2 linked regions of the Danio rerio genome follow. Each later gene encodes a partner of the first gene's protein in a complex. Links are inferred from orthologs where the notes say so. Each region holds a gene or a part of one and is shown in the gene's direction. Other genes may lie near its edges. The genes, in order: lamtor1 and lamtor5.

Region 1 (3,932 bases):
ACTTGTTTCGGGAGTGTCCCTCTGTTAAATCTTTTTGGTCTAATGTAAACTCTCTAATTATCCAAAAGGTTTGTGGAGATTTTTCTTTAAGCTATAGACATATTATTTTGTGGTTTTATATTAAAGGAAAAGAATTCCTTAATTCAACTTTTTGCATAAACCACATTTTATTTATTGGAAAGTTTTTTATACACAAATGCAAATATACTCATTGTAAGCCTATTTTTTTTTTTTTTTTTAAACGAGAACTAGCTCTTTATTTAAAAAAAAACCCATCACAGACTCTCACAATAAGAAAGCTATTAAAACTTATAAAATATGTGCTTTATTTAATATCCTGCAATAATTTGTTTAATCTTTGTCATGTGCCCTTAATTATTATTATTATTTCTCTCTCTCTCTCTCTCTCTCTCTCTCTCTCTCTCTCTCTCTCTCTCTCTCTCGTTGTCTTTATTTTGATTTACCTATATTATATTTGTTCTAAATTTGTTACATTCCACTTTTTCAAAAAGTAATATTTCTATTGATTGTACCATACTTTCAGTTTTGTATCTGTATTTGTTGTAAAGTACTGTTATTATTGCAAAAAAAAAAAAAAAAAAAAAGCATGATGTTTCTTAAAGGTTTTTCATAAAGGTTTCCTAAAGGTTTTTCATACATATATATATATACATATATATACATATATATACATACATATATATACATACATATATACATTCCATATATACATACATACACACACTAGATATCGCATAGGGACCCTGAGCATGCGTCAATAGCGCCGCCACATTGGTACAGTGCTCCCAGTACAAATGTCATTCAACCGCACTAGTCAAGTCAGTGTTATTACGTGAAGATGCGGGACTTTAGCGAGCAAAACAGAAAACAAAGCACAAAGGCAGAACATTCCATAGGTAATAAAAAGTTTTTTCTGTTTTTGTATGTTCTGAACTTTTGTGCTAATCAGGTAACGTTATTGATGAAAACAGTGACTTACTGCATTCACCATAAGGCAAAGCAGCTCCAACTCGCTCCCGCTCCGTCAGTATGAGAAGTGAAAGCAGGAGAGGAGCTGTGTTTCAGGACATGATTAGATCAAATTTAACAGGGAGGGTGGATAGTACATTTCTGTACACACAAACACAAGCTTTTTGTCAGGAATGTGATGTAAAATTATAATTTTCGTAATTAGAAAAAAAAAATTACATACAACATCCAGGAAAACTCCCGATCATAGATATATGTGTATATCTCTGGCTTTGGATGGCCACAGTCCTCCACTGTACCTTGGTCCTGCATTCATTTCAAAGGAGCGCTACCCTGTAGCAAGATGGCGGCGCTATTGACGCATTCCGTCCAATAGACAACAATAGGCCAGGCGACATCTAATGTATATATCTATGAAGGTTTTTAACGGGTTTTTGGGGCGGAACTGACGTGCCAGTGTGGAGACGGAAGACACGTGACACGATTGGGAGTGCTGTCATGTGATGGTTTCTGCGTTTGCAGCAAATCTCTTCACAGCCAAGAGGCAAACACAACCTCAAAAACGCTCCTGAGACGAATAAAAAACCCAAATTCAGGATACTGAACCCGCTGGGCGGCCATCATGGGGTGCTGTTTCAGCAGCGACAGCGAGACGACGGATCCGGTAACTCAAAACACTAATAATGCAGCTTAATGTAGCGTCTGTAGTCCTGCAACAACATTTACTAACGACACACTTTCAATACAGTTGTGTGTTTGTGATTCAAGAACAGCTCAATACTGAGTGCTTGTCAAAACTACAACAAACTTAATCCACTAACGCTACTTTATTTATGTATATTTGATCATTAACGTGTGTTTGTAATGAACTGAAGCTGGTGTTTCGGTGGAGTTAGTCTTAAATTGGGAGTTTTGTGTTGGATGTGGGTCTAATGTGTCAGATCTGACATGTGCTAATGCTAATGTTTGGGGAAATGTAGTGTTAGGGTTTCCACAATGATGGAAAAGTTAAATATATTAGTGCATTTTAGGCCTGGGAGTTTTTATAACAGTTGTACGAAAATATGGGGAGTATTTATGATTTTATTGAGTGAAAAAGAAAAAAAATTAAGCCAATCGTGAAAAGGTTTATTAAATTAAAATGTGCAAATTTTGTTGGATTTACACTAAAAGTTAGTTTTATGCTGTCCAATGCTGAAAAATAACTTAAAATACCAATAATAATGCAGCTTAATGTAGTGTCTGTAGTCCTGCAACAACATTTACTTACGACACACTTTTAATACAGTTGTGTGTTTGTGATTCAAGAACAGCTCAATACTGAGTGTTTGTCAAAACTACAACAAACTTAATCCACTAACGCTACTTTATTTATGTATATTATATCATAAGCGTGTGTTTGTAATGAACTGAAGCTGGTGTTTCGGTGGAAATAGTCTTAAATTGAGAGTTTTGTGTTGGATTTGGATCTAATGTGTCAGATCTGACATGTGCTAATGCTAATGTTTGGGGAAATGTAGTGTTAGGGTTTCCACAATGATGGAATAGTTAAATATATTAGTGCAGTAATTCTCAAACTTTTTTCATCAAGTACCACCTCAGAAAAGATTGTTCCTCCAAGTACCACCATAATGACCGGTATTGAAATACAGTAGCGTAGTAGGCCCAGTAAAACAGCTGCAGCTCTGCACAGTTTAATAACGTGGTAAAATAACTACTACTATTAAGGATATTTATTATTATAAGCCACTTTAAACATTATAAATAGTAACATTAAGACTGTACTCTGCTTATATGTAAACAAACAAACAAAAAAATTAATGTTAACGTTTAAATTAATGTGCTTTTAAAGGTTTAATAAAAATGGTAGGTTACTGTCCTTAAATAGAAAAAAACTGCTGTACTTAAATGTAAAGTCCTATTTATCAAAACCTGGAAATGTTGCTTGGACCTCATAAATAGGCTATATGTCATCATATTCATATTCAAACCATTTTTGATAAATTTTGAAATATATGTTGCTTGTACGTGACATGTAGGATTCCTCTGCGTACCATTAGAAGGAAGCCTGCGTACCGCTAGTGGTACACGTACCACAGTTTGAGAACCACTGTATTAGTGGATTTTAGGCCTGGGAGTTTTTATAATAGTTGTACGAAAATATGAGGAGTATTTCTGATTTTAGTGAGCTAAAAAAAAAAAATTAATTAAGCCAATCGTGAAAAGGTTTTTAAATTAAAATGTGCAAATTTTGTTGGATTTACACTAAAAGTTAGTTTTATGCTGTCCAATGCTGAAAAATAACTTAAAATACCAATAATAATGCAGCTTAATGTAGCGTCTGTAGTTCTGCAACAACATTTACTTACGACACACTTTTAATACAGTTTAATGCAGTTATGATTTTAGTTGGTTTTAAATAATAAACTGAAGCCAAACGTGAAAATGTTTTAAATTAAAATGTCTAAATATTGTAGGGTTTGCACTAAAAGTTGGTGTTATGCTGTCCAGTACAGACAAATACCCAAAACACTAATAATGCAGCTTAATGTAGCGTCTGTAGTCCTGCAACAACATTTACTTACGACACATTTTTAATACAGTTGTGTGTTTATGATTCAAGAACAGCTCAATGCTGAGTGTTTGTCAAAACTGCGTCAAAATTATTCCAGTTACGCTACTTTTTTTATGTATATTTGATCATCAACGTGTGTTTTTTTAATGAACTAAAGCTGGTGTTTCTGTGGGATTTGTCGTAAATTGTGTTGGATTTGGATCTAATGTGTCAGATCTGACATGTCCTAATGTTAATGTTTGGGGATATGTAGTATTAAGGGTTTTCTCAATGATGGAAAAGTTGAATGTATTAGTGGATTTTCAGGTCTGGGAGTATTTATAACAGTTGTACGAAAGTATGAGGAGTATTTATGATTTATTTTTAT
Region 2 (3,932 bases), on another chromosome or scaffold:
ATTTCAGTTTTAAGCCACAGTTTGAAAAAATGTCATGAATTCAACATAAATTTAATAAAGGCATTTCTTATTCTGGATCCAATTCTTTGCAAAAAGGCAGCCCAAATAAAAAGACAACAAATGGCATTGGCAATAGGTTACAATGGCAAGCAATGGTGCACTGATTCACACTGAGGTCTGTATTTTGTATTTTGTTGTTCATTGTGTAATGGTTAATTGAAAGAGCTCATATACTTGTTAGCAAGTTGTGTTGTTTGAAGGTTAAAATAGCTTTTGTTGCATATTTTAAATGTTTTGACACGGCATGTGCATTTTGCAACCAAAATGTGTTATTTTGACCATGAGTGCCGCTGTTTAGGCCTGTGTTTTAACTGTTTTAAAAATGTGGAGTTTCAGTTGACGGCTGCATGAAAGCAATCCAAGGAAAACTGTAAAATAAATTAAGCAAAATATCTTATTAAAAGACTTAAACTGCACAAAAATCAGTAGTCTAAAAATCCATATATATTTAAATGTATATATATACCCACACGCAAAAATAATAATATTGTAATGAAACTATATTTATAAAAATAAATCGATCATCAATAGACAGAAGTTAAGGAATTAAATTAACCCTATAAAAATGATATTCATCAAATATAAGGCTGCATCCAGTCAGGAAAGATTAAACTGTTCTGATGGGCTCTAGAGAGGCAGAAACAGGCAGCTATTATTCTGCCAGCTTATTTGCATGTATATTGACTTTGCTAACCTGATTCATGCTTTGCACTTTGCACAACTTGTGTAATAGTATATTTTATAATATGCTTCGCATATAGTTAAGCAAACATATAGTTAATGGATGTGACAGAGAAAAAATGTGTCTCATGTCAAACCCGGCTCTTAAACCAACCTCACAAACTATAAAAGAGAGTGCTTCAATATCTTGAGTTAAAAATGGAAAAGACTGTCTGATAAAGAGCTTGAGCTCAGACACAATTGACGGTGGTCTTTTATTGTGCGTCTGGTCAGGGGACAAGGTCATTTAGAGAGATACCAACACCGAAGATTCACACGTTCCTCTGGGAGTTCTCATTGACAATGCCAGCTAAATGTTAACCACATGTAGCCTACTTGCTTTTTAGAGCATTGAATGGTTTGTAAAGAATTTATTATTTGTTCAACATAAAAACGAGGATATAGAAGATCTAGACTCTGAATTATAGGTGATCAGTCAATAGCAGTGCTGCAGGAACATTCATTTATTCCAACAGCTGCATATTAATAAATTCAAGCTTTTCATTTTGGTTCAGAAATAGTCACTCTTCTACTTAGCATTTATTTCTCCTGTGGGACTTGTGGTATAATTGGTATTCTTTTGAGAATGTCTTGTGTGTTCATTTTAGTTTAATTAAAATGTTTAACCCAAAAAATTATATTGTATGACTGACTACTTGTCGAGGTTTAGCAGCAAACAAAAGAGGACCATTTACCTACCATCCTGACTTGAGTAAGATGGCGCTAGATCCTATTTGCTTGTTGTCCCTTAGAGGGCGCCGTAGTGTTAAGTCGCGTGTTAAACTGTCAGCTGACATCCCGGAAGTTATCCAAGTAACAAACATCGCTGCCAGTTTCTGAACATTTCGTGTTTCTTATTAGTTTAATAGCCTTATTTAGGACGCTGTTATGGAGGGTGCACTGGAGCAGCATCTTGACGATACGTATGTTTAAAAAGAAACCACTTTCTTTTCTTACGCATGTAACGTTACTCGTTTTGCGTCTTCATTTACTGATCTCCTTTCTCACTCTAGGATGAAAAATCCAGCTATTGTTGGGGTTTTGTGCACAGACGCTCAAGGACATAATCTAGGGTGTAAGTAATTTTTATATTTTCCTTAATACTTCCCTTAGTATAGTTTTCCTCTGGTGACCATGATTTGCTTGGTTTACATGTACTGGGTTTTCACTTGCAACAAGAGGTTAATATTGCTTTTAATATTTACACATGTGTTGAAGGTATGTAAAACGTTTTGAATTTTTATTAGTTTGATTTGTTTCTCAAAACAGGGAACGGGTGTCTACTGTGGACAACTTTATAACTGTGTTATTGACCAACTTAAAGTTAACTGAAACAATGGTAAACAAAAAAACATGGTTAACTGGGAGAAAATACAAGCCTATTCAAATGTAATTATGCAAAAAAAATGTAAAGTAAAATTAAATGATGTATAGATATAGTTTGAGTAGTAAAATCTATAATGGCATGTGTAGTATTAAAAATATTAATCTGATAAATTAATTCAACTTGAGCATTTTAAGCCTGCTTTTTCAGTGTATTACCATGTGCAAAACAATATACAATTTAAAACTTTTCAACAAAATATAGGGTTATAGAATTGTGCTTTATATAGATTCTCAGTTGACTCTTTTCCATTTGGTTTCCAGAACTTGAAAATATACTGTAATTCTCAATGACATTACAAATATTTTAATCTCCAGGCCGGGGCTCACTATCTGATGAACATGGAGGAGTTGTATCTGTACTGGCCAAGCAGGCTGCTTCTCTAACCAAAGATGCCACCGACTGTCCTACAGTGTGCCTGGAGTCTGACTGTGGGTAAGGAAAGCTTCTTGACCAGCATCTGTCTTATTTCTATGTATCTTGAGAATTTTTTGATTTGAGAGACAACAAAACAATCTGCAGAAATCGATGACATTAATTAAGAAAGTTAAATGAGGGAAAGTCAGTTAAACAACAATCTTTGAAAGTCATTCATCCCATTATACCTTCCCTCTTCCACACACACCAGTTGTCACTAAAGTGTATATATAGTGACGTGTAATAAGTATTGAAACTATCAAATTGGCGTGTGACTTTCTCAGAAAGTATTCCATTCATTTTAATTCATCAAGGATTAATATTTTGTGCTGGTCATTTGGTTGCTTTAGAACTGTCTTGGATCAATATCACTCAAAACCACCAATAGATGGCGGCAAGTCTTAATGAGTGATTCATTGAATCATTGATATTTGTAGTATGGATATAATTATAGAGAGGCATATGATTTCTTATGAGTTTTTGGGGGTTTATTATTTTAAAAAAAGCACTATTATCAAGTAAATGTTTTTAAGTAATGGTTAATTTTTTGCCACTATCATTATGGATATTCAATCAAAAGTAATGAAAGCAATGGAACCATTTCAATATAATGCATGGCATATGTATTACTAATTAATAGATGTAATTCATCTTTTTTTAAAGTTAATGCGGATGGGTTTAAACAAAGTAAATCAATTGATTTTAACATTATAATTCCTGTACACAGTAGTTAATAAAGATTGAACATTTAACTAAACGGTTTTAAAAATGTCTGCACAGCCACAAATTTGTTGGCAATATGCTAAAAGAATGTAACTTGCCATTAAACAAGAACAACGAAAAAATAAAAGGCGCTCTTTTTTTTTTTTTTTTTAGCATTAATTTCTCACCCATGACTTGTGGAATTGCTATTCTTTTGAGAATGTCTTGTGTGTTTATGGTTGGCAGATTCTTAAGTTGACTGAACTTGCCACCAGCTGTGATTTTTAGAAACTGATATACCTGGAGTAAGCACCGTCTGACCTGGGATAGGGAAGAGCAGGGCACAAAGTAACACTTTTTGGTTTTGGCCAAATAATGAACAAAGTAATGGGCTTAGACAAACCATTTTTTGTACCAACAACACACAAACTGTCTCCTACAGTTTCTGTGCAGTATTGCCAAAAGTGCCAGGAGCAAAAATGTTACTATTTGCCCCAGCAGTGGGGCACGTTGTAACAAACAGAGGGTAAGTTGTAACGCATGCTTACAAAGGCAGATTCCACACAGTTAATTTAATTTCTGTTTACTTTAAATAGTAGCTATATTTCCTCAGTACTTGGCTCAATTTATTTTGTGTTATACATAGCAC

What was found.
Region 2: lamtor1 (region 1) and lamtor5 share a complex: the UniProt entries of both Homo sapiens proteins name them as parts of the ragulator complex. The link is inferred for Danio rerio from reciprocal best matches to the Homo sapiens genes LAMTOR1 and LAMTOR5.

What each region holds. Positions count from the first base shown.
Region 1 is NC_133190.1:46,803,033-46,806,964, reverse strand, and holds the start of lamtor1 (ragulator complex protein LAMTOR1), read left to right. Parts: upstream 1-1,429; 5' UTR 1,430-1,612; coding exon 1,613-1,654; intron 1,655-3,932. UniProt on the Homo sapiens protein: Key component of the Ragulator complex, a multiprotein complex involved in amino acid sensing and activation of mTORC1, a signaling complex promoting cell growth in response to growth factors, energy levels, and amino acids.
Region 2 is NC_133183.1:26,634,829-26,638,760, forward strand, and holds the start of lamtor5 (ragulator complex protein LAMTOR5), read left to right. Parts: upstream 1-1,542; 5' UTR 1,543-1,668; coding exon 1,669-1,703; intron 1,704-1,793; coding exon 1,794-1,855; intron 1,856-2,481; coding exon 2,482-2,599; intron 2,600-3,932. UniProt on the Homo sapiens protein: As part of the Ragulator complex it is involved in amino acid sensing and activation of mTORC1, a signaling complex promoting cell growth in response to growth factors, energy levels, and amino acids.